4 linked regions of the Sus scrofa genome follow. The protein of the gene in region 3 purifies or fractionates together with the protein of the main gene of each other region. This does not show direct contact. Links are inferred from orthologs where the notes say so. Each region holds a gene or a part of one and is shown on either strand. Other genes may lie near its edges. The genes, in order: EIF3H, EIF4G1, EIF4A2 and EIF4G3.

Region 1 (6,996 bases), on a different chromosome or scaffold from region 3:
ATGAGGTTGCTGGTTCGATCCCTGGCCTTGCTCAGTGGGTTAAGGATCCGGAGCATTGACATGAGCTGTGGTGTAGGTTGCAGATGCAGCTTGGATCCGGTGTCTACAGCTCTGGTTGGACCCCTAGCCTGGGAACCTCCATATGCTGTGGGAGCGGCCCTAGAAAAGGCAAAAAGACAACAACAACAAAAAAAGTAACATCTGAGATAGACCGAACACTTAAAGAATGGCCCAAACTCCCCAAGCTGGGGGTGGTGTCTCTTGGGAATCATTCCTGCATCCATGGACTGTATTCCCAAAAACACTACTGCAACTTCTGGACAGCCATCCTGAGTTACGCGCCAGAGCCAGACAGGCTTCAGGTGCATTACACAAAATGTACATTTATATAAAAAGAAGCTCGAGGCAATGGGTATTAAGCTACAGAGGTTTGCTCCAGCAGGCTGTCTTTTCAATGGCTCTGGCTCCCCATCCCTCCTTCCTTATCTCAAGTAACCTGGAGTCAGATCAAGCCCTGCTCCCATCTATCCAAGGAGGTTCACACTCCATTTGGGAGCCGCTGCTCAACAAGCAGGTTTGAACAACACACTGCACACTCTTAGGCTGGGGGATACAGAAACCACCCATTGTTTTTCTCTCATCTTTGTCAATCAGTAGACTCAGATCTTCATCCTTCCCTTTATTATGTATCTACTAACCACCATCACCCCTTCCATACATGCCAAATAAAGAAGGAATCCACTGGCAATGATGACTTGACCATGCTTTCTATAGATGAGCGCTTGAGTCATTTTCTATAAATACAAAGAAAGCCCTTACAGGCTTTTGGCTTGACCCAATTTGAGTATTACCCCTTTAAGCAAGCATTTCTATGATAGAATCAACACAGAAAAATATGCCTAATGCGAAAAGAAAAAAATTGATAAACAGTATATTATATACTCAACTTGAATGAGAAATGTTTACAAGATGGAATTTGCAATTTAAATAAAAAATTCTTTCCTAACATTCTGATATCCAAGGTCTGCAAGTAAAGCTGACATAGGTTTTCCAAAGAATGTTATAAAAACACAGTGTGAACAATGTAGTAACATTTTCAAAGACACTAAAATGTAAATATTTAGGTGCTGTAAATGAGAAATCACACCATGCTTCATTATTACTAGATTAACATTAGATAACCACATCTCCATCCCCAAGCTCCCAAAAATGGAGAAAAAAGTTTACTTTACCTCCATTCTAAAAGGATAAGGTATTTTGGGCAAGTTAATGCTTCTTTTCTCTCAGGTATTTTCAATTGAGAATAATACTATGTTTTCTAGAACCAAATAAAGCATTATCTATGATTATGGGGTTAATACCAAAGAGGTTTTACTTTTCTTGGCTTGTAATATTTAATTTTCCATTAGATTAACATGCTAGTTTTTCCTGTTCTTCTTGTTCTTGGGTACGTGAATGATTTATTAGACCTTGTACTCAGTTTATGAGCTTTTCTCATTTCAACTTGAAGAAACTGCAAATATTTATAGAAGATGAACCACATGTATCTGTTCCTGAAAAATGTCAGAATACAGCACTCAGATCAAATGCCGAACAGAAGCTATTCCATAACGCTACATACTGTGGAGATTTCATTCCCATTGACATGTTTTCCTAAACAGTTTTTCCCACTACAGTAATTCCTAATTCAAAAACTACTGAAATCGTCTGTTAGGCATGTCTCACATATTACTGAGCTACAGGTGTCTAAGTATTCATATAGAATTTAAGAAAGAATCACCCCTTTAAAAAATATAATTGACTCTTCTTAATCACACACCATAAGGAAAACAGTAATTAAGGTTAGGTTTGAACTGACTGTCCTTTCACTTTGTTCTTGGACACTTCAGGGGTGCTTTGTTTAACTCCACAATAAAATTCCACATCTAGGCAAGCAGAATTCAGGGAAATGAACCAAAGGAGTATCCCATCCACAAGGGCACCAGCTTTGTTTATCAATATGACCTGTCTACTACCACAGCCACACTCAAATACATGTTCACCCAAATAAGACTCACCATGGGCAGGAGTGCAAATCAGTATACCCCTTCTAGAAGGCAATTTGGCAACAGAGTTAAAGGCCTTAGAATTTGACACACCCTTTGACCAGTAAGTCTGCTTCTAGGAGTTTATCCTAGGAAAGTTAATTACATGTGAGCAAGTACTTGAATTCTCGAGTAGTGAAGGGCCTGATCTTTCTAAAAGCAAAAACCTGCTAATAAGCCAACTTCCTGAACAGTGAACCTAGCATGTGCCCTAGGTCATGGTACACACCGAGATTGCTCCACACCAACTGCTGCTTCCCATACAAGCCTTTGGCTCTCACACCTACAGCTAACACATGTCTCCTTGCATCCCCTCCAAATCAAGAGTGAGGTGCAGGGAAGTTATGTGACCTAAGAACACGGTAAAGAGAACCAGGTTGCCATCCAGCTGATGATCAATCAAACCAGACCCCAGAGCTGCCTCCAAAACAATGTTGTTGGGAAAAAAGGACTTCTGAACTCTTCTTACCCATTATCCATTCCTTCTGATCATCTTCCTATCAGCCATATCTTCAAGGTGAAAATCACCAAATAAGAGTCTCATAGGCACACCTCCATAGCTAGTAAATCTCAGTGGTTTGTGCTGTTACAAAAATGGCAGCATTTTTTATTTTATTTCAAATACAAAATTATTAAAATAGTCTTTTTTGCCCCAATATGGTACCTGTCTCCCAATTCTTCTTTCCCCACTCATAAAACTTGCTATTTGGCAGAATTATATTTCAAGACATGGAAAAAAAAAAATGAAGTTCTCAATGAAAAAAAATACACACAGAATAAATTTCATTTTCATACAAAATAATGTCTTCTGGTGAAATAATTTTTTTTTTTTTAAGTTTTTATGCCCAATGAATGGCCTATGAGCATGGGGACTGGGCTACCGCCACAGGAAGAAGAAAAAAGACAGACCGTGGGGAGCTCGCCAAGCACTTTCGGACCTGGGGACAAGGGCAGCCAGGGTAAGCATAGGAAGCACTCACTCGGGAGCGATGAAGTACTAGAATCCACAGTTGAACCGGGGCTTCCAGGTCAGGCGCTGGGGAAAAGCATCATTGGGCTGAGTGGCAGAGATGCGGCACCAGAGATAACAAGGTGATGGAGGAGCCTGTAGGTCTGGGCCTGAAGAAGCTTCTGGTCAAGCCTGCTTTATCTTTGGAAATACACAGGTATAAGCAAAACAAGAACAAGAGCTAAATATAATAAGTCTAAAATCAAATGAGCAAGCAGTCAAGATTGTTTTATCTTTATTTTATTATTATGTGCTAGAAAGACTTTTCAATATGCAAGTGTGTTTCTTCCAAAAGTCGCCCCAATGTGATCTCAAGAGTCCATGTTAACTCCTTTTCTGGAAACTTCCTTTTCTTAGTTGTTGTATTCTTGAAGAGCCTGGGCCATGAAGAGTTTGCCTAAGTTTTGGGCAGTGAACTCCTTGATGTTCTGGCAGTAAGTGTTAATCTGGCCTGTGCATTTGGGAAAGTGAGAAAGAGAATCATAACGTTCCACAAATTGTAAAACAACCTAGAATACTAGTCAAACAAGAAAATCAGCATAATACAGAATCACCAGAATTTTACTTTGTTATGTTTTGAATCAAGAGTCTGTAAGAATTTGTTTATAAGGGATAATAAAGAATATAAGTTCTTGGAAAAAATAACCTATCTTCCACTCTTGGTTACACGGAGAATGAAGAAAATCTACAACTTACTAGCAGTTAGGCACATGTTAGCTGTGAATCAAATAGTACTGACTGTGCAGATCAGACCAGGATTATACTAAGACAAGTGAGAAAATAGCACTGGCTCTTCTTAGCCAGGTAGAAAGGAGATACCGAATCACAGAACTGCAAACCAACCAAGCCCGCCAGACCCAGATGTTAACAAGTAAAGGGGTTTTCAGTCTGTGCTCTGGAAATATTAATAGGCCACCCCCCCCCCCAACAGCCCCAGAGCCAAGACAGAGCAGGAGCAGAGTCCATGTGAAGAAAGGGCTCTATCACTGCTTCTGAAGTCCTCTAACTAATAATCTAATCTGATGCAACAGTTAACATGTTTTTTGAAAGTATAAGAAATACAATCCTGCTTGAATTGAACGTTAAATAAGTAATACGTCTCAGTTTCCTAAATTTAATTTATATGTATACCAGAAAGTTTAAAGGAATTTGGAATTTCCCCCATACTAACACTGTATCAATAGAACTGAGAAATTGTAACATCAGCTTTTCTTTGAGTAGGATTTTCACTCCAACAAATCTCTCACAGACAAATGACTGTTCAATGACATTATACAGAAATAAGGTATTACACCTAACTAAGAGCAATAATGTTATGTTACATATTCAAAATCAAGTTCTAACACAGACATAAGACCTTAAGGCTGTGTTAAATGTTAAGTATCCCCAGAGAAAGTTCACGTTGCTACAGGTCCAAGTACTGGTAATAATACTTCTTGAATCAAAAACTCCAATTCAAACAGCCACATACAGACCTGGGCTCAAGGCTAGGCCAGAACATCTAAGTAAGCGTTTACTCTAAATGATCTGTGCATTATGAGACGATAAACATTTTTTCTGAAAGATGACGCACATAAAACCTCCCCATTTTAGAAAGTTTATATAATGCCATCTCAAAAGTGTCTAGATAAAGACAAAGTGAAGCAATGAAAGGACCAGAAAAATAACAAAGTCTGACAAATTCTTAAATTTCAGAAATTATAGATACTAGATTCAAATTCACCATTCAACCATTTGAAAAACACTAGCTTTTACGTCTTACTCTGCTTGGGAATCTCTGTCTCCTGCTTCCTAAGGAATAAAGAAACCAGCCGTGCTCTGCCCTAACTAATGATACCTGCAATGAGCAGTGAATCCATCCTGGCAGGGGGCTGGTGCGGCTTGAAGAGCTTGGACAGGTCCTCCTCAGGGAGTGGCGGTTCTCCTCGACTCTGGCGCTGCATATTCTCCTGCTGGCGGCGCTGCTGATACTAAAATTCACAGGGGAAATATTTGGTTATTTTTCTCTACCTGAGAGAAAAAAGACCTCTTTCACTTATGCGATCAGCAAAACCCCATAGCTCTGAATTCTGATCTTGATTTTATACACGGAAACCCTTGGTAACTATTGCTTGTAAGAAGCTAAATACAGCAACAGTCAAAGAAAATTTCTGTTGTAAACTCTCATGTCACTCTGATCTCTCAGAGTCTACAACTACTGATTTGGAAAAACAAAACTAGTTATGTGAGAAAAGAAGCTTTTTTAATTGAAACGATGGTGGTGAAGAACTAGTCTGGTTCTTAACCAGCTGAGCCACAACGGGAACTCTCAAGAGATTTTTTTTTTAAAGAAAATAAAATTTTTTAAATGACAGAAAGGAAGTAACTTTACCATTTATGACAATGGGATAAATAACAGCATTACAAGCACAATTCACCTTAACTTTAACTAAACAATGAAAAACCACATTGGGGAATTTTTTAAACTTTATCCCTACTGACAGAAACAGCAATAATGCTGCTGATATTACAATTATATCACCATTATTATTACTATGATAGTAAATACTATTACTATTCTTAACAACAGATAATCTGCTGTGCTCTAGAGCTCTATAGCTAAGAATGAATACTATTAGCTCAGATAAGGCTTCAAAAACTTAACTCCAGTTTCTTATGATTCCGCAGAGAAAGTGGGGGAACATACGAAAGTACAGATCACCTATAAATTTATAGTTCAAATTACAATCAAGATGCTAATAGTTGTTTCTGCTTATACCAGCAGAGGAATAATATCCCACACAAAACCTTAGGTTGCATAATGAGAAACCAGGATAGGCTGGTAAAATTCAAGTCCTTAGATTCCTATAGAAAGGGGGTAAGTTGCTCTGCAAATATTTCTATGTTCACATGGGTATTAGAGTAGAAGTGAGACAAATCTGAAAAGGGTTATGTTATGAACATGCTAAGTAAGAATAAATGTCAAACATAAATAAGACATAACAGCATTCTTTTAAAAAACCTCTTGGGAGTTCCTGTTGTGGCTCAGTGGGTTAAGAACCAGACTAGTATCCATTAGGATGAGGGTTCAATCCCTAGGCTTACTCAGTGGATTTAAGGACCCAGCGTTGCCATGAGCTGCAGCAGCTGTAGCTCCGAGTCCACCCCTAGCCGGGGAACTTCCATACGCTACAGATGTGACCATAAAAAGAAGAAGAAAAAAAAATCTCTTGAGGTTGGTTTCCAGAATCACAGAATCAACTCTCATGGGTGACAGGTTTTCAGTTTGATCCTCCAGTTGATCTGATAGGAAGTGCAGCAGAGGAATGGAACCAAGCTGGGTTTTTTCCCCCACCTCGTTTCAAAAAGATTTTCACCATCTTCACCACCATCATTTCCATTAAAAAAGACATTTTATATAGATTTATATGTCTTTAAAATTCTTTGTTGTAGAAACAAAGTATTTTAAATTCCACTAAATATATGAACATTAATATTAAAAAAATTTAAATATTCTCAAACGACTTAGCTATACTTAAAATCCCATAGTCACCAACACCTAGTTTCCAGTACATTTTAATGAACACAGAGGAGCTGAACACTCAGAAAAATATACATTCTAGAATCAACCTATCTATGAATTAAAACTTAAGAATATTTCGAAGCAATACAGACCAAAACCATATTCCAGGAACTGTAAAAATCATTCGGCCGGCCTTCAGGCAACACTAATAAGAAAAGATTAAATGGCCAGAGCAGTATGGACGTGCATATAAGAATATCCAGGTAATTCTAGGGTTTTTATCTGTATTATACTATCTATTTCACAGCAGTTGGTCCATTATTTCCTATCAAAACTGCTTGCTCTTAATCACAATTGCTCAGTTTTTTAAATGAACTGAAGATTGCTAACTATGCTGCAAT
Region 2 (7,096 bases), about 2.4 Mb from region 3:
CGGTCGCCGCACCGGGGAGGGGAAGAGTCGGTGAGAGGGGAGGGGGTGGGAGCCGCTCGTCCGCCAACGCTCCCGGGAGAGGGAACCGGGCCAGTGACGTAAGTGTGGGGGCGTGGCCTTCACGTCACTACCCAAAGAAGGCGGGGCGGAGCCTACGTCACAGCCACGCAGAGGCTGCCTGGGGCAGAGTCCCTCAGCAAAAAAAAAAAACGCTCGTCTGCTGCTTCCAGACCCAAAGGCAGGGGAAGGTGGAGACCGGCAGGTTTGGATAGACTCACAGAATCCAGGCTGCCAGTCAAACTGCATGGGGTCAGAAGCCGTCGGTGCATCCAGGCCCCTCATTTTATAGATGAGACCTCAAAGCCAGAGGGCTTCGGCTATAAACACCTCCAAAACCAAGGCTTCCTCCACACACTGGGGTCTGCATCACATTTTGATAGGAGACCAAGACCAGGAAGTGTGTTCTGTCTAGTACTTCACACCTGTGTTCCCCTTCTCCCCTCAGCAAGGAACCCCCACCACGTCCACTTTGATTTCCTAGCCCTTGCAATCATGGACAGGGGAAGAGGCAAGAGGGGGTGCCAAGTTTCAGGGAACAGTGCTACGGTGCCAGCTCTGGAAAGGAGGCTGCCCACCTATCCAGACCCCTTCTCCAGAGGGAGCAGGCCATAAAGCAGAGAGGCAGTGAGTTAATTGAATTCATGTTTAATAATTACAGGCACCGTGCCCCCCCTTCCCCCTGCCCAGGCAGCAGCAGGGGTGGTGCAGGGGCTGGGGCATTATGCCCCCAGCAGCGAGGACGGCAGTCCCAAGAGTGATTTTCAGAAAATAAAAAAGGACCCCAGGGGCAGGCGGTGGTGCCCCCCCCAAGACACACCAAATTTCAAGACTTTATATATAATATATCTCTGTGCCCCAGGGGGAGGAGAGGGACACCTGGCAGCATCCTGGAGGGGGGCCCCAGGCAGCCCCAAGCCATCCTGCCTCTTCAGCCACTTTATTAGCTCAAGACACATCGCACTACAGGCACCCACTGCCGCCGCCACTGCTGCCGCCGCCCCCCCTTGCAGTCCGGGCGGCTGGCTTGGCCATCCGAGTGTCCATGGGGCTCTGAGGCCCCGACCCCACCCGCTCTCAGTTGTGGTCAGACTCCTCCTCCTCCGCCTCACGAAGCCACTTGAAGAAAGCTGTGACAGATTTAAGGGCCACACCCTTGCCCTGCTGCTCAGCGGGGTCCTTGCTACTCTCCCAGCTATAGAAGGCGTCCTCCTTCACCACGTCCTCATCATACAGCGCATCAAAGAACGTCCGAAGCAAGTCTGTAAGCAGGCAGGACAGTAGTTAGAGGCATACTGCCCACAACCAGCCCATCCCACCCCCCAGGGATCCCTCCTCTAAGCTCCACTGTTGAGATAAGACCCTGACCCACTATGCTGACATTTGTGTCTGGCCATTCCAGAGTGGCTAGGTCTCTGACAGGACGCTAATCTCATGATCTAAGAGACGGTGCACAAGAATGAGTCACTTGGACAAAACTTAGAAACCTGCCCAGCCTCACCTCAGCAGCTTCAAACTTCTCCATTCATGATATACTTAATGGGCAAAACTGCAGAGTTGGTACTCCTGAATTTAGGAAATCACAAAAGCCTCAGATGTATCTCTTAACAAAAGTCAAGGGTACAACCTGGAACATTCACTGGCCCTCATTACAGATCCCAACAAACTCTCAATCTTCTCTTTACTTTCCACACATCTCCTAAACATACACACCACCTCTGTGCTTTAACACTTTGTGTGTGCTGTATCCACTGCCAGGAATATCCTTTCTCTTTCACCTTTTATCACCTTCCTAGTGAATTCCTTTAGGCTCAACTCAGGCACCCCTTGCTCTGACCCTCTTTCTCCTTCACCCAGAGCTACTCCAAATTCCGAAGCACCCGAATAACCCCTGAATATAATCTATTCCAGGAGTTCCCATCGTGGCCCAGTGGTTGACGAATCCGACTAGGGACCATGAGGTTGCAGGTTCAATCCCTGGCCTTGCTCAGTGGGTTAAGGATCCGGCGTTGCCCTGAGCTGTGGTGTAGTTGACAGACACAGCTTGGATCCCACGTTGTTATGGCTATGGTGTAGGCTGGTGGCTACAGCTCCAATATAGAACCCTAGCCTGGGAACCTCCATATGCCGCAGGTGCATCCTAGAAAAAGCCAAAAAAAAAAAAATCTATTCCACTACCAATACATCACACTGCCAGTCCTTCCAAAGCAAACATGTTATATATACATGTCTTTTTAGGGCCGTACCCATGGCACATGGAAGTTCCCATGCTAGGGGTCTTAATCAGAGATGTAGCCGCCGCAGCAACACCAGATCCGAGCTGTGTCTGTGCCTTACACCACAGCTCACGGCAATGCCAGATCCTTAACCCACTGAGCGAGGCCAGGGATCAAACCCGCAACCTCATGGTTCCTAGTCGGATTGGTTTCTGCTGCGCCACGACGGAACTCCAAACATGACATTCTTAAGAGCAGAGGGAGACTGAGTAGTGAATGCATTTCCTCTGAATAAAGCAGAGAATCTAGAGTCCAGGCCTGGGTTAAACAATGACTGAGCCGTCTATGAGAAGCTGCAAGCCAGGACAGCTCCTCAGGGCATGCACACCCTCAAATCCACAACCACTGTCTATGGGTAGCCTCCCACCCTCATTCCGCAGCAATGGCAACAGCAGATCATTTATCCCAAACCTGTTCTCCAAATCCCATGCACACCAACCCCAAGGACCTTACACAATCATTTATCCACTCTACCGTGGATAAATGATGTGTGTGTCTTCAAGCCCAAGTTTCTCCAATCTAAACACAAATGACCTCCTTTACAGCCACTACTTCTTGACGGCCAAACAAAAGACCTGTCAAAGATTTTATCAGCACTTGCTGTTTTCTTGTTGATTCAGTGAGTATTACACTGTCTTTTCCAATACAGGTTCTGCCCCCTGCGCCCCAAATAATGTTCCTGCCAGGGTTGCCTCCTTGTTTTCACACTCTAGAGGCCCTAAATTACGTCGTCCTGTGGAACTCAAGCAGCATCTAGCACTACTGACCACCTCTCTCTCCTAAAAAATCACTCTGTCCTTTGTTCAAAGGGTCCTGTCCTCCTTTGGTCCCTACCTGTGGGACCGCTACCCTTTCAAGGCTCTATTCCTCGGACAATCCCATACCCTCGTGTGTTTCTTTCCTTTCTTCCTTTTTTTTTTTTTTGCTTTTTAGGGCCACAGTTCAACATATGGATGTTCTCAGGCTAGGGGGGTGAACCGAACTGCAGCTGCCGGCCTATGCCACAGCCACGCAGTATCTGAGCCACATCTGCAACTTTCACCACAGCTCACGTCAACGCCGGATCCTTAACCCACTGAGAGAAGCCAGGAATCAAACTTGAATTCTCATGGACACTAGTTGGGTTCATTACCACTGAGCCTCAACGGGAATACCCCCCTTCTTATGACTTGCACGTGTGTTGTCCTGTACCAGCAACTCAAGAGATGGGCCTCCAGCCCTGACCTCTTCCTCCTCCATGAATTCAGATACCACGTCATCTACCCAACTGACATCTCTGTTCACCCTCACCAAGGACTACAAACAACTCAACCTGACCCAATGTTCCCTTCCCACCAGGGAATGGCACCTCACCTGCTAAAACTCTCCTGGGAGTCATACGGCTTCCTATCTCACATCATGCCCTCCCCAGGCCAGTGTACTGTATGTCTAGAGTCTGCCCGCTCCTCCTCCCATCTCCACTGTCACCAGTAAGGCTAAGCCACTACCGACGTGCTCCCTGATCTGCTGATCTGCCATAGTCACACTCAGCCCACTCCAAACCACTCCTCCCACTAATGGCCAGGATGATCTAAAAACTAAAAAAAGGAGTTCCTGTCAGGGCTCAGTGGTTGACAAACCCGACTAGCGTCCATAAGGACACGGGTTTAATCCCTGGCCTCACTCAGTGGATTGAGGAGCCCACACTGCTGTGGCTATGGTGTAGGCCAGCAGCTGCAGCCGTGATTCAACCCCTAGCCTGGGAACCTCCATATGCTTCAGGTGCAGCCCTAAAAAGCAAAAAAAACAAAAACAAAAACAAAAACACAAACAACAAAAAAACAAACCCACAAAAGGCCTTTTCTCATCCTTAGGTTAAAGCCCAAAATCTATCCCATGACTTACACTGCCCTGCATGACCTGACCATGTCCATCTCTCTACCCATGTTGCCTCACATACACTAGGTGCTGTGCTTCCCACCCTGGTCTTCCTCCTTCAACAGTTTTTACCTTGTGTCATATTTTCCACCTCAGGCACCCCTTTATACAGTTTTTTCTTGTGAAGTCTCCCCCCTCCCATCTGTCATTTATCTCCCACGTGTCAATTTCCATTATTCTCTCTGACTCAGTATATTCCCCGAGAGAGTACCCTACAGGACACATCTTCCAACATCCACCTGACTCATGCCAACAGAACTACACTTGACTTAAGCACTGCCACCACCCCAATGCCTTGGCGCATGCCTATTTGCTGAATACATAATCTCAGGCATGTTACACTAAGCCTCAGCCTCCCAAAATGGAAAAGGGGGCAACACCATCTACCCTAAACAACAGTTGTGAGAAGTAACTGAGGCAAAGAAAGAAAAGCAGCTCAGCCCTATTGTCAGGCAGAGGGCCCACACTAAGAAAATGTTACCATTTATCACCTCTGCACTTCTAGGCACAAAGTGGATGGTCAATTAACCTTCAAGGCTGAGTCTGACTCCTTTCACTTGTAGGTAAGGACACCAGTGTTGCAGGGGAAAGGGCTCAACCATCGGGATATTTTGCTCCAATGACCACCCACCTTTCTTGAGTTGAGACCCCTTCACAACTACCCCTACTATCTGGCAGTTCCTCCAACCCACTCCCACTCCTGTGGCCTGGCTCTTACTGGCGGGCTGTTCTAAGGTCACTACAAGGGCCTGGAGAGCATAGAGCGCCTGCAGCTCCTTCTGCTCATCACACAGGTATTTCTGTAGCAGTTTCGCTCGTGCTTTCAACACCGCAACATCCACCCGGAGAGGCGTCTCAACTAGAGGGAGGAAGACAGGGATAAGTGGAATAATGCACTCAGCCTGGTTCAGAACTGGAGGCAAAGACCAAAACCTCCCTCCCTCCCTCCACATGGCTGCTGGGCCCACCCTTGCCCCACCCACTCCCTGGCTTCTCTTACAGATAATTGCAGAATAGCAGACAGTTGTCATGAGGGCTCGAACCAATGTGTTGGATGCTACCTGCTGCTCACTCAGGTTGGCCTGTGCAGGAGAAAAAGCAACGAGCAGATATTATAAGTTAATTATGCTGGAAGGATCTATTCTTGCTGCCCCCACCCACACATCAATAACCACCTCTTCTTTATCCAGGAAAAATATACCTCTATCCAGTCAAACACCCGCTGGTTACTGCTGCCCTCCTTCAGCAGCTTCTCCAGCTGCCTGCTCAGCTCCTCAGAGGAGAATAACCTCTGGCCAGGGGCTTCTGACTCCTCTCCCAAGGTATACTCCACCTTCTGCAAGCAAGAGTTGGAGGCAGGTAAGTGCATCTCATGAGATGAGGGAAGAGGTGTGGACTGGCTGGCCCCAGATGTGAGAGAGAACCTAACTCCAGCCACAAACCTGTGCAGTGATGAAGGCGCTGACATCCTGGCCTTCAGGTAGGAATTCTTTCCAGCTGAGTCCAGCCTCTCGCCACAGTGATCCCACCTTTTTGGGACCCTGAAAAACATAAAACATAAAACTCAGCAACTCTTTTTCTCTCCAAGAATACAATGGCTCCACAAATGTCAACAAATAAATACACACTGGAAGCCCACTAGGAGCCTAGATGCCACAGAGGCACTGAATGGGAACAGACCCTCCATGCCTACCTACAGTCTAGTATTGGGCACGGACATCAGTCAAATAATCACCCAAAGTCACAAGAATTCATCCACTACAGTGTTATGAGACCTGAAGGATGGCCTAAGAGCCTCCAAAAAAATGTCAATTAGCTGTCACAGGATTCTCAAAGAATGAATGGACCACAAAAAGGTCAATGACCAAATCCAAATAACTCATCCTAGTCTTCCACACTTCTTTTCCTAAAATAGCTTTGTTTGGAGTTCCCGTCGTGGCGCAGTGGTTAACGAATCCGACTAGGAACCATGAGGTTGCGGGTTCGGTCCCTGCCCTTGCTCAGTGGGTTAACAATCCGGCGTTGCCGTGAGCTGTGGTGTAGGTTGCAGATGCGGCTCGGATCCCGCGTTGCTGTGGATCTGGCGTAGGCCGGAGGCCTAACAGCTCCAATTCGACCCCTAGCCTGGGAACCTCCATATGCCTCGGGAGCAGCCCAAGAAATAGCAAAAAAGACAAAGACAAAAAAAAAAAAAAAAAAAGCTTTGTTTTCCATTATTCAGGTAACAAACACTTATGGAAGAGAATAACTTTTTTTTTTCTTTTTCTTTTTAGGGCCACACCTGCAACCCCACGCTAGGGGTCCAATCGGAGGTACAGCTGCCAGTCCACACCTACAGCCACAGCAAATATCTGAGCCACATCTGCAACCTACACCACAGCTCACGGCAATGCTGGATCCTTAACCCACTGAGTGAGGCCAGGGACCAAACCCGCATCCTCATGGATGCTAGTGGGGTTTGTTACCACTGAGCCACAGCGGGGAACTAGGAAAGAACAACTTACAAGTATGCTTATTTGGTTCCCAAATCCAGAAAATTTTAGAAGCAGATATAACTTCCATCCCCAACACAAATCAGAAAATCTTCACATAAACAGCAGTCTGAGTTCATTTTCTGTAAGGGGCATGATATTCTGAAGGCATCACTGTTTTACAATAACAGATATTCAAACCCTTGACAAAATTACTATAACTCCTGGGTTTTAAGAATGCCCATCATGGAGCAGCAGAAACGAATCCACCTAGGAACCATGAGGTTGCAGGTTTGATTCCTGGCCTCGCTCAGTGGGTTAAGGATCCAGCGTTGCCATGAGCTGTGGTATAGGTTGCAGATGCGGCTCAGATAC
Region 3 (8,633 bases):
CCAAAGTGGGCCAGCCAAGAGCAGATGTCAGCCTGGGACAGATGTAAAACACCAGGGTAAAACAAAAAAGAGCAGTTATGTAATCCATTTCGACGCAACTTCTGGAACTGTAAACTGTAAATACAAATGCTGCAAGGTTAACTACTGCCTAAAACTTACTTCTTCCAGTGGGAAAACAAGTATTTGGTATGGTAACCCAAACTTATCACTGCTTTTTTTTTTTTTTTGCTCAGTTTCACACGTTGAAACTCTAATTATTCAAACGTGTTTACCTCCAAAACAGCTTTCTAACCTTCCTGATAAGATACCAGACAATACAAACCACCTAACAGGCTACTATACAAAATTCCTTGGCTGGAGCATCTTAAAATATCAAATAATCATGACAAAAGAAAAACAAATATAAATACCGACTCGCTCTTTATTCAAACAGTGTGCTGTTTCGCTTATGATTCCACGTCCTAAATTACGTCAACGCCGTTTCTGAGCGCCATCTGGTCATCAACTGCTGCTATCGACTCCTGTATTTTTTAAAAAGTCTTTTTTTACATCATATAACAAAGTACAATTCAATTTATTTAGGGATAAAGCCACTATAACTAAACCAGGGACTGCTCAAATTGCTACCAGACAACACCAAGAAAATCCCAACTACAGAGAAATCACCAAGAAAGCACATGGACACACGAGCATCACTAAAAATAAAGCTCAAAAATAAGCTAAAACCAACAGAACTAAAACAACCTCATCTGTGTATGAAGTCCACAATTTGGGCAACACTCACAACTGTTTTCCCACTGTGTCTGACCAATCTTCCCAAATACAATTACACCCTACCAAGTTACTGTCTTAATTCCCTGATTGGAGGTTACCTTTCACACAAATCAGTCAGTAGAAAAGCGAAATGAATTTTACCAATACAGTAATAAATCAAGATGCCACCTACTCACCTGTGAATATAGTTTTCACGATTGGTAGGTAGGTCATAGTTTATAACCAATGATACTTGTTGCACATCAATCCCACGAGCCTAAAATACAATGTATAATGTTCAAATTCTAATTAAAAAACTAGACACCTATGTAATGTAGGCCACAAAATAGTAATGAACTATACTAAATGGTATAGCTCACTGTGGAGCGTGGTCTCTTCTTTACTCTCCCAAATAGCCTAAACTTGGTAAAGGTTATTAAAGAAAACCTTCCCCCAAAACAAACTTTTGGTAGATTAAAAAGAACAGTAAGAGACTCACCAACAAGTCAGTAGTGATCAGAACACGGCTTGACCCTGATCGGAATTCCCTCATGATAACATCTCTTTCCTTCTGGTCCATGTCACCATGCTGCAAATTAATAAGCCTTAAGATCACGAGTCATATTAACATTTAATTTTTATCAATATGTATGAGACCAAGCGTCCCTGGCTGCTACAGAGTATAACAGACAGGTATAGTTAAGAAACAACTTTATTTTGAGCAGGGGGAACGACAACACAGCACTTAACAGCTATATTGTAGTCTAAATCCTGCTTTAACAAAAATAAAGACTTCAACCATCATTACTAGGTTAGAACATCTTACCAGAGCAGAAACTGTAAAGTCCCTGGCATGCATTTTCTCAGTAAGCCAGTCCACCTTGCGCCTTGTATTGAGAAAAATCACAGCCTGTGTAATCGTCAGTGTCTCATACAAGTCACAAAGTGTATCCAACTTCCATTCCTACAGTATTTCGAGAAAAAAAAGTCATTAAAAGAACTGTTTCCAACTTATATTCATTCAAAATTCATTGCTTGACTATCTACAAATAAATATATGGCACCAAACGTTAAGACAAAGGACACTGGACATTAAGAAAGAGGTCCACCCCAGTCTTTACAATCTAGTGCAGTTACTCTTCTTCTTGTGTGTACTCTGCTAGCATTATTACAAAAACCAAGATGTGATCCTAGTTTCTGTAATTTTAGCACAGTGCTTATACAAGAAGGTTAAAAAAACCTGGCTACAATTTTTTACAATTAGACAAATTACCTCTCTTTCAACATTAATATAAAACTGTTTGATTCCTTCAAGGGTCAATTCTTCCTTTTTCACCAGAATTCGAATTGGATCTCTCATGAACTTTTTGGTCACTTCCAATACATCCGTTGGCATTGTGGCAGAAAGCAACACAACCTTTAAAAGACAATAATTGAACTGTCACACATCCCACAATTCCAACTCTCACAATACTCAAGGGAAAAAATGTTTGAGGCCAAGCGTCTCTGTCTTAGCAAGACATTGTGCTAAACGGAGATAGTTATGCATCAATTACTTTAAGCAGGGGGAATGACAATAGAACACTTCAGTTGTATTGTAACAGTACCTGCATTAACCTAACCTCCAGCTATTACAGGAAAATGAGGGAAAATAAAGCTCACCTGAATACTTGTATTTAATTTTTGGAAAATCTCATAGATTTGATCCTTAAACCCTCGGCTCAGCATTTCATCTGCTTCATCCAAAACAAACATTTTGATCCATTTTGGAGCTGTTAAAAATAAAGTCGTACTATTATCTCTAGACTATCAGGCATGTTATTGATTCCTAAGAGTTAAAAAAAAAAAAATCTATACTCCAACAAACTATACTAATAGGGAGTAATACTTACAAAGATATCTTCTGTTTAACATATCAAACACTCTCCCTGGTGTACCAACAACAATATGTGGTGCTTCAGCCTGCAGTTTCTGCATTTCATTCCGAACATTTGTCCCACCAATGCAGGCATGACAAGTTGCTCCCATATAGTCTCCAAGTGCCAGAATTACCTTTTGGATCTGAAAGCCAAAAGCGTTAATTATCATCCAGCAGCATTACATGCTGTGACTAAACTTCCAAAGCATATTGACAAGTATGTGGTCTGCAAACAGCTTTAATGCATGCAGAGCACCTAACTACTTTCAAGCTGAAAAAAATGCAGACAGATATAACTGTCAGGATAAACTTCACTGAAATATCTTGTGCCTTGTCAAAACTTGGGATCCTATTGCCCAGATACCAACCAGGTTATTTAGAGTGAAAAACATTTCCTACATTAGTATTGTGCAGGAAGGAGTAAATAAGATTTATCATCATTAACAAACTTTTTCCCGCAAAGTACTGCAGCATATAATCTTGACCTTAATAACAACTACAAGTGTATTAGCAAGGTTTACTTCAAAGCCAATATAGTAGTGAGCTTTGAAAACGCAGCATGCAACAGATGTATCACATACTGAGACAGTCAAATGAATGAACATGTCACTGCAGCTTTCATGTTGCACAACTGGATTCAAACTTAAAATGAGAAAAGATCTAGTCCAGCCTGAACAGAAATCTTCAGTTTCTCAATCTGTTACACAACCTTGCAAACCATACCTGCACACCCAGTTCCTGTTTAACTTTCAACAATAACTCCCTGCATGCATGGACAGTTAAAAGGAGGGCTCTGTAGGACCAATTTATACTAGGCTTTTAAATTCTCCACAGTTGTGAAACCTGAAACCTATGCAACACGCAAGCAGTTTTTTTGAACTACACTATCAATACCTGTTGAGCCAGTTCTCTGGTGGGGGCCAATACTAGTGCTTGGGTCTCCTTGAACTCAATCTCCAACTGTTGCAGGATGGAAATAGCAAATGTGGCTGTCTTGCCAGTACCTGACTGAGCTTGAGCAATCACATCATACCCTAAAAAAAGTAGGATACATATTTACCGATCCCACAGCAAACCGTCACTTCTAGTCACACCATGTATTCCATTTGGAACATAATTATGCCCAAATAATCAAGTGATCAGCAATGAGTATTCTCTTCATTTCAGGTCAGTCCCGAAAGATGATTGCCATCATTTCACTTTTTGGAATACAAATAGGTGCTAGTCCCCCAGAAGGTATACGTTCCCTTTTACGGTCCAGGTCTATGCAGAAGAGTGAATTCATTTTTAAAAACAGCCGAATTCTTTTACCTTTAATACAAGGAATAATAGCTCTCTGCTGAATAGCTGATGGCTTCTCAAAACCGTAAGCATAGATGCCCCGAAGAAGAGACTCCTTTAAATTCATATCGTCAAAGTTATCAACAATCTCATTCCAGTTGCTCTGAAAGTTTGGGCAAAAAAAAAAGGAATAAATGGGACGAACACACTTACCTTCCCAGAGTTTCAAATTCCACACACGTTTCTTACCTCGATGACACCATCGGGGTCCATTCCCTCTGGGCCGCCATGTTCTCTGCCAACAAAAACACTGCAGTTAGAGAAAATCCCTTCCCCAAACCCACTTCAACTGCACATGGGCGAAAAAGCGCTTTCACAACCGGTCTCTTGAGGTCGCCCTCCCCTGCACGAGTCCACTTCCCAAAGCCGCAGAAGAAGCTGATGCCGCAGGGCACACAATGTCCCGCGCGCCCGCTCAAAGGTTAGGACCTGAGGACACCCGGAAAGGCCCCTCCGACGCCGGCCCTCCCCCTCCAAGCCCGAGCGCAGGCGCTCCCCTCGGCGGCGGACCGTCTCGCGAGAGCTCCACGCGCTGAGCTCCGCCCCTAACACTGCGCAAGCCGGGGTGATTGACGCGGGCCGAGGCCTGGAGAGGCGAGCCAACGGCTCATTGGGACCCCGTGGCCGGCGCGGCCCCATCCGGCCTCCAGCCGCGGGCAGTGGGCGCCGTCGCCGTCCTGCCCCCCACCCCACCACCGTCTAGCGCGCCCAAGCCGCGCCGCTGGCCGCGAATAAACCTCCGAGCCCCATTAGACTCTATCAACCGCGGGCTGCGCCATGGCTTTCACTAAACGCCGGGCTCCGCAGGGGCAGGGGGGCGGCTGCGATTCAAATGCGCCTTCGGGGAAAGACACGCTTTAACCACCCCGTTTTCCTACCCTCGTCTCGTCTCCCCACAACCCGGGCCCTACACTTCATGGAAGCTTCTCGAAGGACACAGGAGTACCGTGGCCCAAGGCAACGCCTATGAACCAGGGCTTCTCTTCCTGCTCACCGCCTACTACCATCTCCTCTGGCGCCTTAGGACCATACCATAGAAAACCACCGGAGAGAGCGCCATACCTGTTATAATCCGCGGAGCCACCAGACATGATCCAAAGAACCACTCAGCGCCCGACTGAAAAGACAGCCGGGCCGCACCACCCGTTTTTTATAGGCTCGCGGCCGGAACCCGTTTTCCGCGGAGGAATTTTACTGTCGCTCTTCGGCCAGTCACAAAATTGTGATCCTGGGATGCTTATCTCAGAAAATATTCGAAGCAAATCATTAAGAAAATTCAAATTTGATTATGTGTCGATATTCCAGGGTTGTTGAAAATCCCAGGACCCTGGGGGAAGGTTGGGACTCTTTGACCCGCGGCGGAAGAATATTGCAGCAAGCAGTAGCTAGGTTCGCGTTCCCTGCCCGCCCTGCTCCTACGGGGTTTCCGCGTCCCTCGAGCAGAGGCGGCCGGGGCGCCGGGCAGGACCGGGAGGCGGAAGCTCGGGGCCCCTTGGAAGCTGGGTGGCCCCGGTTTCTCCGCAGGCGAGCCAGGGAACCTCGCTGTGCTCGCCGTGCTCGGTGCGGAAGGTGTAGGCACGGCCATACTCCGCACTGGAGGGCAATCGGGCTATTCCGCCTGTTCGCGCCGCTACTTAACGCGAAGGTAAAGAGCCGCCTGGCCTTTGACACGAGCGTTTAACATCCATACAGACCTTGACAGTGTGAAACTCGCGCTGCGGAAAATGTCGGCCGCCCAGCGTGTCACAGGAGATCCGCTTTACCGTACATCGTGCAGGGCGAGAAGAAATGTGTAGGGTCCTCTGCAAATTGTCTCTGGAGTAGCCAACTCCTTTCTTATGTTGCCTCTTCTCTCACTGCCTTTTAAAAATAAAGGTTATAAATTTTAACAGGTGTGAGCAATGCCTGATAAAATCATTGTAAACTGGCAAATAGAAGGGTAATTTTTCCTGTAATTCAGGAATTTAAGTGGATGCTTCTGGCAAGTACAGCTCCGTGCCGCTTTGGGACTACATAAGTTTTGCTTCCGGTCATTTTTTTTTTTTCCAAAAGGCTTTTTGAATTTTAATTGCTTATATATAATGAATGTTGATTTATTGATATTGAGAGCATTGTAACCCTTAAAGCTCCAGAGGCTTTCAACTATAGCCCTAACCCATACTCATTAGTAAAAACAAAACAAAAATTAATATATATAGTCATTTAACTTTGAAATACAATCCTACCCATACTGCAAAATATCACAATTACTCAAGAAAACCTTTTACCATTAAATCAGACTGCCAACATAAAGTCTGATAACAGGAAAAATGACTTAATTTTCTATATTTGTGTACTATATTCAGTATGATGCTTGCTTCTAAATGCCACATTTTTTCCAAAAAAAAAAAAATCATTTGCTTGAAAATTGTTGTGCCAGAAACTGACAAGAACTAATACCCAGATGACAGTGTCTTCGCCTGCAGTCTAGTGATGCTGCTCCTTAACCATCCCTTTATAATGTTCAAGTCCAAATTTGTGATAATGCCATACATTGTCTGAGAATAGAAAGCAGAAATCCTTGTTGGCTCATCCAAAATCTACTAAAAATCTCCTGGGATCCAGGAAACTGAAGGAAATACTAAATCAGAAAAGTAGCCAACAACTTAGTCCACTTGAGTCTATAGGGTGAAGTCAATCAACAATTAGGTGTTAATTGTTGAATGTTTTCTTTAGGTCTAGCTACTGTTTCATAATATGGGGGATTTCCAGAGTCTCTTTAACAGGAAATAATCAAGGGCCAAACTCCGGGTTTAGGTCAAAGAAAAACTTCCTAATCCAAAATCCAGCAAAAATCCGGATACATTGCCTGCAGCTCTACAATGTATTTCTAATAAATGCTGTGCTTACCACATTTGCTAAGTACTTAATAGTAAGTAAAAAGTGAGATAAAGATCCAAAGAAAACATACACATTAACAAAGTTTTGCATATCAACACAGAGCATACTCTCACTGTTAAAAGAAACTTTTCTACTTACCTGAGATCTAAAATTAGATAGCCACCTCTAGGTCAAGGACAAACGTTTCCGTGCTAACCTGGAGCATGTGAGGCCATTTACACTGCAAACAATGCTAAAATTCTGCTTCTTTCACTACGTGAGCCATCTAGTTTAGTTCTGCCCTTCAATAGCCTCCGCTGACGAATTGTAAACCCATCTAGCAACTGTAAGCCAACATTCACCAAAGGAATCAAGGAATTAGTACAGATTTGTCAGTATGACATGGAAAAGAGTAACAAAACCTTAAAAGAGTGTGGGGTTTTTTTTGGTTCATTTTTGTTTGTTTGTTTGTTTGTTTTTATCTTTTTCAGGGCCGCACCTGAGGCTATGGAGGTTCCCAGGCTAGGGGTCGAATCGGAGCTGTAGCCACTGGCCTACGCCACAGCCACAGCAACGCCAGATCCTTAACCCACTGAGCAAGGCCAGGGATCGAACCCAAGTCCTCATGGATGCTAGTCAGCTCCTTAACGTGAGCCATAAGGGGAGCTCCATTAAAAGAGTATGCTTTATATTTGGTAGTGAAGTCTTAATGTAGAGAGTACCATGTGTTCTTACCATTCAGGGCGTGTTATGTCATCTTGCCAATCTAACATTATTTTAAGGCCATCAGTTGATTTGAAATGATAGCTATGCATTTAAAGCAGTTTCTTGGTAATCTATTGATATGCAAAAGCCTGTTAGGATATGTGTTTTAGGTCTTTAATTCTCTTATTACTTATTAATGTCACTTATTATTTAGTAAACACAGGATAATCCATGGTGTCCCTCCATCTATAAGTGTTTAAAAACTGGATCGAAACAGGGTTATTCTCCTCTTTATTATTCAGTGGCTGGAGGAAATTAGAGGCTAGATTCTGCTTGAATGTAGGCAATGTCCACTGGAGCAATTTAGAGGGTAGCACTCATTGCCACATTCTTCACAATAATTTTAAAACCATTTGCATAGTGATAGGCAAAGATAATAATAGAGTTGAAAGAAAGGAAAAAAATAAGGACCACCATAGAAGGGGCTGTTTATATTAATTAATACCAGGTTATTACAGTCTATTGCGTGATCAAGATAGGGAGGTTTGTCTAGCTCCACCCTTATGACTGAAATAAAAAATATTATTGTACTGCAAATCAGCACATCTAAAACTATGGTATGCATAAAAAGCAATGAGAACAAAAAAACAAACAAAAGGAGTTCCCGTTGTGGTGAGCCACCGCAATGCCAGATCTGAGTCGCATCTGCAATCTATACCATAGCTCACAGTAACAGCAGATCCTAAACCCATTGAGCAAGGCCAGGGACTCTCATGCATCCTCATGGATGCTAGTCATATTGGTTTCCACTGAGCCACGAAGGGAACCCCCAGAAATTTTGTGTTTTATTTCGAGTCTAACAGTGAGGGAAATTGGGTGAGGGGTATATGGAAGAATTCTGTGTGCGATCTTGGCAACTTTCTACAAACCTAAAATTATTTCAAAATAAAAAGCTGATTTTTAAAAAGGAAGCCCCTGGAGTTCCCATCGTGGCGCAGTGCTTAACGAATCCAACTAAGAACCATGAGGTTGCGGGTTCGGTCCCTGCCCTTGCTCA
Region 4 (8,622 bases), on a different chromosome or scaffold from region 3:
GGTATTTTGCTGGAGGCCTTATTAATATCTGAACAAGCAGAAACTTGCACTGAATCAAATGTGGCAGGCCTGTTCCTATGCTTTAAGGCTCAATGAGGTAAAGATAACCTACTTTGAATGTCTAGCAGTATGCGGCTATGAACTAATTAAAACAAAGTACAGCGTCACTTCTTTCTAGATTGCTCCACAGATCTCCTTTACCGTATATAGACTTCCCCAAGCTATCAAATGAGGGACAGTATCCTTCCTTCCACTTCCACACACAGACTTGGTAAGTGGCACCGCAGAGTAGAAAGGACATTCACAAGCTCTGGAGCCAGTAAGATGGTCTGAACTGCAGTCCACCACTTACTAGATAGACAATACTACATAGACAACCATGGGAACATTACTGAACTTCTCTAAACTTCAGTTTCCTCATCTGAAAAACAGATAGTACCTACTGCATTAGTGTTCTCATGAGAATTTTAAAAAATCATTTATGTTTGACTCCTAAAACAGGAGGCACTCAATAAATGAGTACTATTGTTATTATTCAGATTTAGCTTTGGTGGAGGCAAAAAAGAAGCAAACATCATTGGTTTCAATCTCTAAGATAAAACTGAAAATCAACACAGGATACCAAAAAAAGGAAAATTGTAACACCCCCAAAAAGACAATATTTGCTTTTAATATATGTCATATCTAAGACAAAATAGCTGAAGACACAAGTCATTTTCAGGTCATAACAGGCCTTTACCAAATTTAGTTTCTTTAAAGAACCCACTGCTCTGATTTTCTTAACCCAAACAACTGCCCCCAAACAGTAACTAGACTCCCCAGAACTGTCAGCAGCCCTGAGAGAAATTACATCCTGAAGTCTTCCCATATAAATAGAACACTGTGTATTCATAACAGACTGCAAAATTATTCTGTTTAAGTCAGAACTATTTGGGCACCTAAATTCAAACTCATTTATCTTTAATTATCTCAAGAGTGAGCAATTTGCATTTAAAGAACAAGGCTTTTAACGGGGACCCAAGAACTCTCTGGAAATATAAGGAAGATTTTCTGTGCATGGACAACTTTCTGTGGAGGGTCTATAAGCTTTCAACAAAATGTCAAAGTTGTTTGTTACCCAGAAAAGGTTAAGAACACTGTTGAGATTCTCAATAAAGCCTTTTGAAACCTCATACTGAGAAGCTGAGGTGAGCAAATCTCAAGGCAAGTATCCTGACGTGTCAGTTTCATAAACTATTCATACTGGATTATATTATGAAAACGCTAAACGTATTTCTCCCTTGCCATTAGCACTTTTTTATATCAGGGTTTATTTTCTTCTTTCATCCGCCATCACCCCTGCCCACCCTCCAGCATGCTCCATCCCTTGCTGGTCCCTTCTCTAGCCTCTCAACAGTCATAGGCCTCTACCTGAAATGGCCTTAACAGTCTGCCAAGCCATACTGATGCCTAAGAAGGTTCCATTTATTTATTTATTTATTTGCTTTTTAGGGCCGCACCCGTGGCATATGGAGGTTCCCAGGCTAGGGGTCTAATTGGAGCTATAGTTGCAGGCCTAGGCCACAGCCACAGCAATGCAGGATCTGAGCCACATTTGTGACCTACACCACAGCTCAGGGCAACACCAGATCCGTAACCCACTGAGTGAGGCCAGAGATTGAACCCGCAACCTCATGGTTCCTAATCAGATTCATTTCTGCTATGCCACGATGTGAACTCCCCATTTAAACTTAAATTCAAATTCACCATCACTTTTTTTTTTTTTTTTAACTTTTTTAAGGGGGCCACACCTGCAGCCTTCAGAAGTTCCTGGGCCAGGGATTGAACCTGCATCACTGCTGTAACCAGAGCTGTACTAGGACAATGCCAGATCCTTAACCTGCTGAGCCACCAGGGAATACCTAAATTCACTGTTATTTCTGATTTGTCACCTGAACACTAAGCACAAATAAAGGACATCTTGTTACATGAATCTCCTCACATTTTTACAAATTTAAAATATTATCTAAATTTATTAATTCAAACAATGAAGCTCCCTTGTGGTGCAGCAGGTTAAGGATCTGGTGTTGCCGCAGCTGTGGCACAAGTCTCTACCGTCACATGGGTTCGATCCCTGGTCCATGAACTTCTACATGCTGAGGGTGCAGTCAAAAAAAAAAAAAAAAACAAAAAACAAAAAAAAAAAACCACTACTGCACCCACACCCATATATTTTGAGGAACTGGAGAGTTAATCAAGCTATAGAAAGAGCAACTCCAACTTCACACTCCAGCCTGAATGCTTCAATATTTATCAACTTAACATGCAATAATCACTTTGTCAAATACAAATTCTCATACCCTCAGTGTACAGAAGCAAAATTGCCCTATTTAATCCATTTTTAACCAATTCCCCATTGCCATTGATAACTGTTCACCATTGGTTGTTCTAATGAAATCTATACTGGATTTACTATAAAAGCAATTCGATTTTAGCAACTGTAACCTTTCAATGCATAAAGCAAAGAAAAGGTAATAAAAGTGTGAAATGCCTTAAGAAGAAAATTAAATTCTAACTTTGATGACCTGAGGCAAAGTGGCAAAGTAAAAACTTAAAGCCACATAAAACTAAGTATCCTATATTACTACACATAAGTATAAAAAGTATTCCCATAGGAAATTCCATCTTAAATTTACCCCCTTTAACAACTGTTGCCAAATCAGTAACTACTTTTATGTTGCAACCAATTCAGTTTTTATATGCCCTTCCTGTCAAATGCATTGAGAAAAAGCACACTCACTTGACACACTGAAGTCACAGCTCTTTGTGTCCAAATAACCACAAAACTCACCAAGCACTGTCATATTCAGCACTTTGGTCCTCATCACCTTATATTCAAGAAGACATAGTATGGTCCTCATTTCATTTGTTTGAATTTCCAAAACAGCTCCAAGATGCAGGTAATGAATAACTTACTTGGTGGCACAGCATAGAAACTTACAGCCCTAACCAAGTTTGGGCAATCAAGACCCAAAAAAAATAAAACAAAATAAAATAAAATAAGAAAGGAATTTAACTCACAAACCATTAAGTAAAGATACATTTCAGAGATGCAGCACTGAACTTCACCTTGAAGTAGGCTTATCAGCCAAACTTTTCCCCCAACAGTTAAAGCCTCTAGGGATACTGATCAAAGCTAACTAGATTTTCCATGGGCAACGCACACTAAGATATCACTAACCATTCTCACCGGTGAACAATTCTTAATTGAACAGAATCATGCAGTTAACATTATGAAATCAGTACACACATCACACTGGAATGGAATTTATCTTACTCTGCGCCACACTGCTTGGATTGAAAAAAATGTGGATAACAACATTCAAAGAAAAGAGAAAATGACACTTGAAAGAAACCAAAACAATGACCTGAAATGACTTTAGAAGGGAGATACCTTTCCCTTCTCAAAGTAATGGATACAGACAAGAATCAAACTACAGACCGTGAAATAATCTGTGGACCTCACAGCAGTTAGTTTCGCATTTGCTTATTTGCTCAAACACCCTACTCTAAAAGTCAAACACACAATGACACGAACACAAAAACACAACACATCTACCATCCAATGATTATTTATTGATTTACACAAATACAACGGATTGGGGGGGAGGGGTGCATGATGAAATGTTATTCTCAGGTAGGTAATAATACCTCTCTAAATCTCCGTGGAATTCATGAACTCAACGTTTTACCTTCACCCGCTGGTTTTTAACTAAAATACCTCGTCACCAAGTCTTTCCAATCAAAGCTGTCCAAAAATTCTACAATCGAGCAAATAACATGAAATTAGACACATTCAATACTAGACTTTCCTCCAGGAGCCCTGGCACCCTCCAGACATGAGGCCTATGAAGAGTAAATTAAAGCCCTTTAAAAACAATCAGCATAACACGAGCCTTCCAAGAAGTGAGACTTTTGGGGGTGATGGGTAATGTCAGTTAACTTCCTCTTCCTTTAAAAAAGGTCAAAGACAGGGAAGCGTCCGGTGTAACATTTCCTCCTCAGATCGCGTTCCACCACAAACCACATCACAACTCTCCCAATCGCTAAAAAACATTAGCCAGAGGGAGTGCTTTCCGCAAAATTTCGCCATAGATTTAAAATCCAACTTACCTCCGGAACCAGCTGAGTTTAGTTTCAAACAGTAAAATTACCAATAAAGTTTCTTAGGTATTAATAATATTTAGGGAAGCCCACTATGCCCCGCTGCAGGGAGAGCTGAAGGGAGATGAGGAGGAGGGTGTAGCCCTCACAACAATCAGAGAAAAGCCTTCCCTGCAGGGCTGGTCCCGGGCACCAGCAAATTCGGCCTAATAAAGGGGGGGGGGGTGGGGAGGAGAGGCGAGAAGGGGGAAGGGTCCCCAGCTCCAAAAGGGAAGGGCTGCGGAAGCAAGGCCGACGGAGCTAGTTTTCACAGTAGTGCAGAGGGTCCCGGGGTCCCCCGCAGTGCTGCTGCCGGGTCACCCCAAAAGCTCCGGCCAAGCCGGGTGCGTGGGCTGAAGGAATAGTCCCTTCCCCGGCTGGGCTGTGGCTGCCGGCAGGAGGGTTCCCGGAGGGGCCTCAGCCCCCCTGGTCTGCGACGAAGAGAGCCGAACGGCCGGCAGGAAGGTGAAAAGGATACTGTTGGGGCGCCTGGGTCTGGAGGGCCCTGATGTTCGGGTGAGGAGGGGCCGCTGCCGCCGCCGCCGCCGCCGCCGCCGCTGCTGCCGCCGGGTGAGGAGGCGGTACCGCTGCTGCCGCCGCCGCCGCCGCCGCTCCGGTGCCGGGTCCGGTTCCTGCTGCAGCCGCTGAGCCTGATTTCAGAGCCGGTTTCTGCGGTAAACTCATGGCAAAGCGAAGCCACCAACCCCCCCAGAGCGGGACCGGGCGCGCCGGGGTGCAGGGGCCGGGGGCAGCGGGGGGGCGGGATGGGGGCAGACCCGGGGAGGCGGCGGGAGCGGGGGCCGGGGGGAGGCTGGGAGGAGGAGGAGGAGGGGGCCGGGGCCGGTCACACACGCCCGCCGCCGCCGCCGCCGCCGCCGCCGCCGCCGCCGGCAGCAGCAGCCGCCCCGCGGGCCAGCACCACCGGCTGCCGGTCTCCGTGACAACGCGACCCCGGGGGGGGGCCGGACCCGGCGGGGGCAGGAGGCGGAGAGACCGGACCTTTCACGGCAATATCCTCATGGGCCGGCGGCGGGGGGTCTTTATCCCCCTCCCCGGGGGAAGCGGCGCCCTTCTCGGTAGCGGGGCTCAGGCGATGCCGGCGGATTTTCTTCACTCAACGAGCAGAGCATCCAACATGGCGCTGCGGCCGCCTCCAGCAGTCCGGCAGGACGGCCGCTCGGAAAACTTCGGGCCTTTTCGGAATGGTTCGGGAGGCCGAGGGTGGGAAGCCCCTTCGGCTCTTTCCGGAGACTGGGAGCGGTCGGGATTCTTCGGAAATGCTCGGGGGCGTCTTCGGCCGCCGTTCGGGCGCTCTCTGGAACTGGCTCGCTTCCTCGGGAAAGATCGGCAAGGGGGCTTCCCAGGCTCGCTGCAGCCGGGGTGCGGGGCGGAGGGAGAGACCAAAGGCGAGGTCTGGTCTGCGAGAGCCCTCCCCTGCCGCCCACCTCGGAGAACAATGGTAAAGGCCCTCGAGCCTGCGGTCCGCAGAGCCCTGTCCGCCGAGGCGGGAGGCGGTGAGGCGAGAAACCTCAGTTACGGTGGGAGCAACCGCTTAACCAGAGTGGAACCGCTGGATAGGAACCTGCCGCGTGCACCTATTAGCATAACTAATAGCACTCGCTGGCCCTTAACGCTGATCCCGTCCATTGTGTCGACATTTCGCCCTTGTCCCCTCAGAGAGGCGAGTGGGATGAGGAGCCCCATTTCCAGAGCACCCTGAGGCTGGGAGAGGAAAAGTGACCGGCCCAAGGTCACCCAGCCAGGAAAGGGCAGAGCCAACCTGGATCTCACATCCACCTTCATCTGAAGGAATCTTGCCACCTCCCAAGTTGCCTGGGGACCTGATCTGCCCTGCCTTATCTAGTCAGCAACCTTAACTTAGGATTCTGTGGACGGATTCTTCCAAGGCCTGCCCCAAGACAGGAGCGCCCTTTGACCGGGGACCAGTGGTCGGCTCCCTGGGTCCTACTTGTTGATAAACTCCTTTTCTCACCAGCAGGACCGACCAAAACCATCCCACCCCCTCTGCAACACTCCTCCCCCAACTGGGGTCTTGTCCAAGCACAGGGACACTGAGTAGAAAGGAATTACAGAGAGATCAGGGAGCAAGCCAGGTAATAATGGTTACCAGACACATATTCATTATCATGCAGTCCTGTGAAGTAGGTAGTAATCATTTTACAAATGAAGAGACTGAGATGCTCATACTATCACACGACACAAGGAGCTGAGAAAATTGAGGCTCAAGAGGAAGGAAAAACTTTCCCAAGGTCACATGGAGAGTGTAGTTGGCAGAGACAACTACAGAGTGGGTTCTGCCTCCTGCTATACTGCTTCACACTGCCATTTTTTTTTCTTTCAATTCACATAAAGCTCTAAACATAGTAGGTGCTTAATTCTTAATAGTCCCTGGGAACCCCAAAAGCTCCTTCTCGGAAAAAGCATCTATCTGGAAGATGAGTCTGTGTCTTTCTGGTGAGGGTTCCTAGTGTTGAAAAGAAAGCATCATTCCCCATCTCCAGACAGAAGGCAGGAACTACTTCATCACCCAGAATACTGAACCATTTGGATCTGTGACAGCTGGTTACCTGGGATCAGATTCTCTTCTCTTTTCTAGACATGACTGACTCCAAGAAAAATTCTCAAGTGGTCCTGCCATCCCCAGATTCTCCTGCCATTCTCCAGATCTCAGACGTCCTCAGGTCAATGGAAACCTGTTCCCAGGAAAGAATTTGGCTTCCCTCTTACACTAGGGTGATAACAGACTGATAATTGCTTAATTGTTATTCTTTTCTGAGCTAGTTTCATTTTCTCACTTAATAGCTGCAAGCATCAGGCGATTACTGTGTGTCTGGTCTTTGCTAAGCACTTTATGAGCATTATCTCTCTTAAAACGGATAGACCTTGGGCAAAATGATGTAAAAGTCCCTGATAAGATTCTGGCCCCAGGCAATCCATTCGGAAGGCTTATAGGGAGCAAAGTCAAATAGTAGAGTGCTCTCCTTTCATCCAAAAGCCTAGTCCTGTTCAACACATCCCAACTAACACAGAGTGGCTATGTGTTATTGAACACCTACTGGGTGCCAGGGTACAACTCTGTGAAGTATTATGCTTAGATTAACTCATTCACCTCAGCAACGCTTCAAGGTTATGATATTCCATTTACAAATAAAGAAACCCAGGCTCAAAGATGTGAAGACGGAACTTGTATAACTTTCAAGTGAAAACAGTCATTCAAACCCGGGTATCTGACTCAGTTCTGATCTGCCACATTGCCTTCTACAGGGCATCTTCTCCATAGTAGCCAAAAGCACCTTCAACAAAGGAAGCTGATTTTGTAAAGTGGTCTGCTGAGAGTCCTCCATAGCTTCTCATTGCCTTCGGGATCCAGTCTCAAGGCAAGACCCTCCAGGATCTGGATTCTGCTTCCATCCTGCCACTCCCCACCTCAAACCTCAAGCTGCGGCAACCTTGCTCCATTGCAAACAAAGCCATTCTCCCCCCTGCCTTGGGGCCTGTAATACTGACCACAACCCCAACCATCCTCTTTCCTCTCAGCCCATTGACTAATTCCTGCTCCTGCTTCAAGGCTTAGCTTAGGCCTCACTTCCTCCAAACAGCCTTTCCCCCCTCCCCAGGCTGAGCTAGGCACCCCTCCTTTAGGCTCCCTCAGCAGCTGATGCTTAAAGCTCAGTGTTGAGCAATTCAGAGTGAGCCATCATAACCAAACTACCTGAATTTGATTCTCAGCCCTGCCCCTAACTAGTTGTGTGATCTTGGAGAAATTACTTAACCTCTCCAAGCCTCCGTTTTTCTCACCCCGTAAAATGGAGACGCTACCTCCTATCATGAGAAATAAGACAATAGGAGTTCCCTTGTGGTGCAGTGGGTTAAGGATCCATTGTCACTGCAGCAGCATGGGTTGCTGCTGTGGTGCAGGCTTGATCTCTGGTCTGGGAACTTCCACTTGTCCTGGACACAGCAGAAAGGAAGGAAGGAAAGGAGGGAGGGAGGAGGGAAGGGAGTACAACAAATATAAAGAACTTAGCCCAGTCCCTGCCACTTAGTAATCGTTGGATGCATTTTAGCTATTACTCATCCTCTGGTCATTTAAAATATCCCTAATATCTAGCATTCAATAAATAGGGTATAAAACTTGCTGAAGGACAGAAGAATTATGAATTGCCAGAGAATTCGATGTTACTCTGGAGAAGCCCTGGGTACAGCGGAGCCTAGGCCAGGCCTCGCTGCACAGGGAGAGATGGCCAAGGGCATATGGAGCAGGCAGTGCTAGCCCATAGGAGGAGTTTTATATTTTTGATCAGCCAACCACTGTTCCCAGAGCCCACCACGCTGCCCCCTAGCAGAGACCCATGCTCCCTCCCAAAGCCAATATACGTCTCCATCCTCAAAGAGCCAGCAGACAGGTGAAGGCTTGGT

What was found.
Region 1: the proteins of EIF4A2 (region 3) and EIF3H purify together in Homo sapiens (affinity purification with mass spectrometry; 3 studies listed by BioGRID and IntAct, with this or other methods). This does not show direct contact. The link is inferred for Sus scrofa from reciprocal best matches to the Homo sapiens genes EIF4A2 and EIF3H.
Region 2: the proteins of EIF4A2 (region 3) and EIF4G1 purify together in Homo sapiens (affinity purification with mass spectrometry; 6 studies listed by BioGRID and IntAct, with this or other methods). This does not show direct contact. The link is inferred for Sus scrofa from reciprocal best matches to the Homo sapiens genes EIF4A2 and EIF4G1.
Region 4: the proteins of EIF4A2 (region 3) and EIF4G3 purify together in Homo sapiens (affinity purification with mass spectrometry; 3 studies listed by BioGRID and IntAct, with this or other methods). This does not show direct contact. The link is inferred for Sus scrofa from reciprocal best matches to the Homo sapiens genes EIF4A2 and EIF4G3.

Annotation. Positions count from the first base shown.
Region 1 is NC_010446.5:22,049,999-22,056,994, reverse strand, and holds the end of EIF3H (eukaryotic translation initiation factor 3 subunit H), read right to left. Parts: intron 5,064-6,996; coding exon 4,931-5,063; intron 3,545-4,930; coding exon 3,447-3,544; 3' UTR 3,312-3,446; downstream 1-3,311.
Region 2 is NC_010455.5:122,218,957-122,226,052, reverse strand, and holds the end of EIF4G1 (eukaryotic translation initiation factor 4 gamma 1), read right to left. Parts: intron 5,792-7,096; coding exon 5,693-5,791; intron 5,587-5,692; coding exon 5,452-5,586; intron 5,333-5,451; coding exon 4,969-5,332; intron 1,320-4,968; coding exon 1,135-1,319; 3' UTR 690-1,134; downstream 1-689. Other genes in the region: protein FAM131A, read right to left, coding at 1-342.
Region 3 is NC_010455.5:124,579,567-124,588,199, reverse strand, and holds the start of EIF4A2 (eukaryotic initiation factor 4A-II), read right to left. Parts: upstream 5,139-8,633; 5' UTR 5,104-5,138; coding exon 5,075-5,103; intron 4,248-5,074; coding exon 4,202-4,247; intron 4,116-4,201; coding exon 3,983-4,115; intron 3,706-3,982; coding exon 3,566-3,705; intron 2,815-3,565; coding exon 2,646-2,814; intron 2,526-2,645; coding exon 2,416-2,525; intron 2,171-2,415; coding exon 2,027-2,170; intron 1,718-2,026; coding exon 1,580-1,717; intron 1,343-1,579; coding exon 1,253-1,342; intron 1,031-1,252; coding exon 951-1,030; intron 522-950; coding exon of another isoform or gene 512-521; exon of another isoform or gene 1-511. UniProt on the Homo sapiens protein: ATP-dependent RNA helicase which is a subunit of the eIF4F complex involved in cap recognition and is required for mRNA binding to ribosome.
Region 4 is NC_010448.4:79,376,677-79,385,298, forward strand, and holds the start of EIF4G3 (eukaryotic translation initiation factor 4 gamma 3), read right to left. Parts: upstream 5,363-8,622; 5' UTR 5,182-5,362; intron 4,833-5,181; 5' UTR 4,661-4,832; intron 1-4,660. UniProt on the Homo sapiens protein: Component of the protein complex eIF4F, which is involved in the recognition of the mRNA cap, ATP-dependent unwinding of 5'-terminal secondary structure and recruitment of mRNA to the ribosome. Functional homolog of EIF4G1.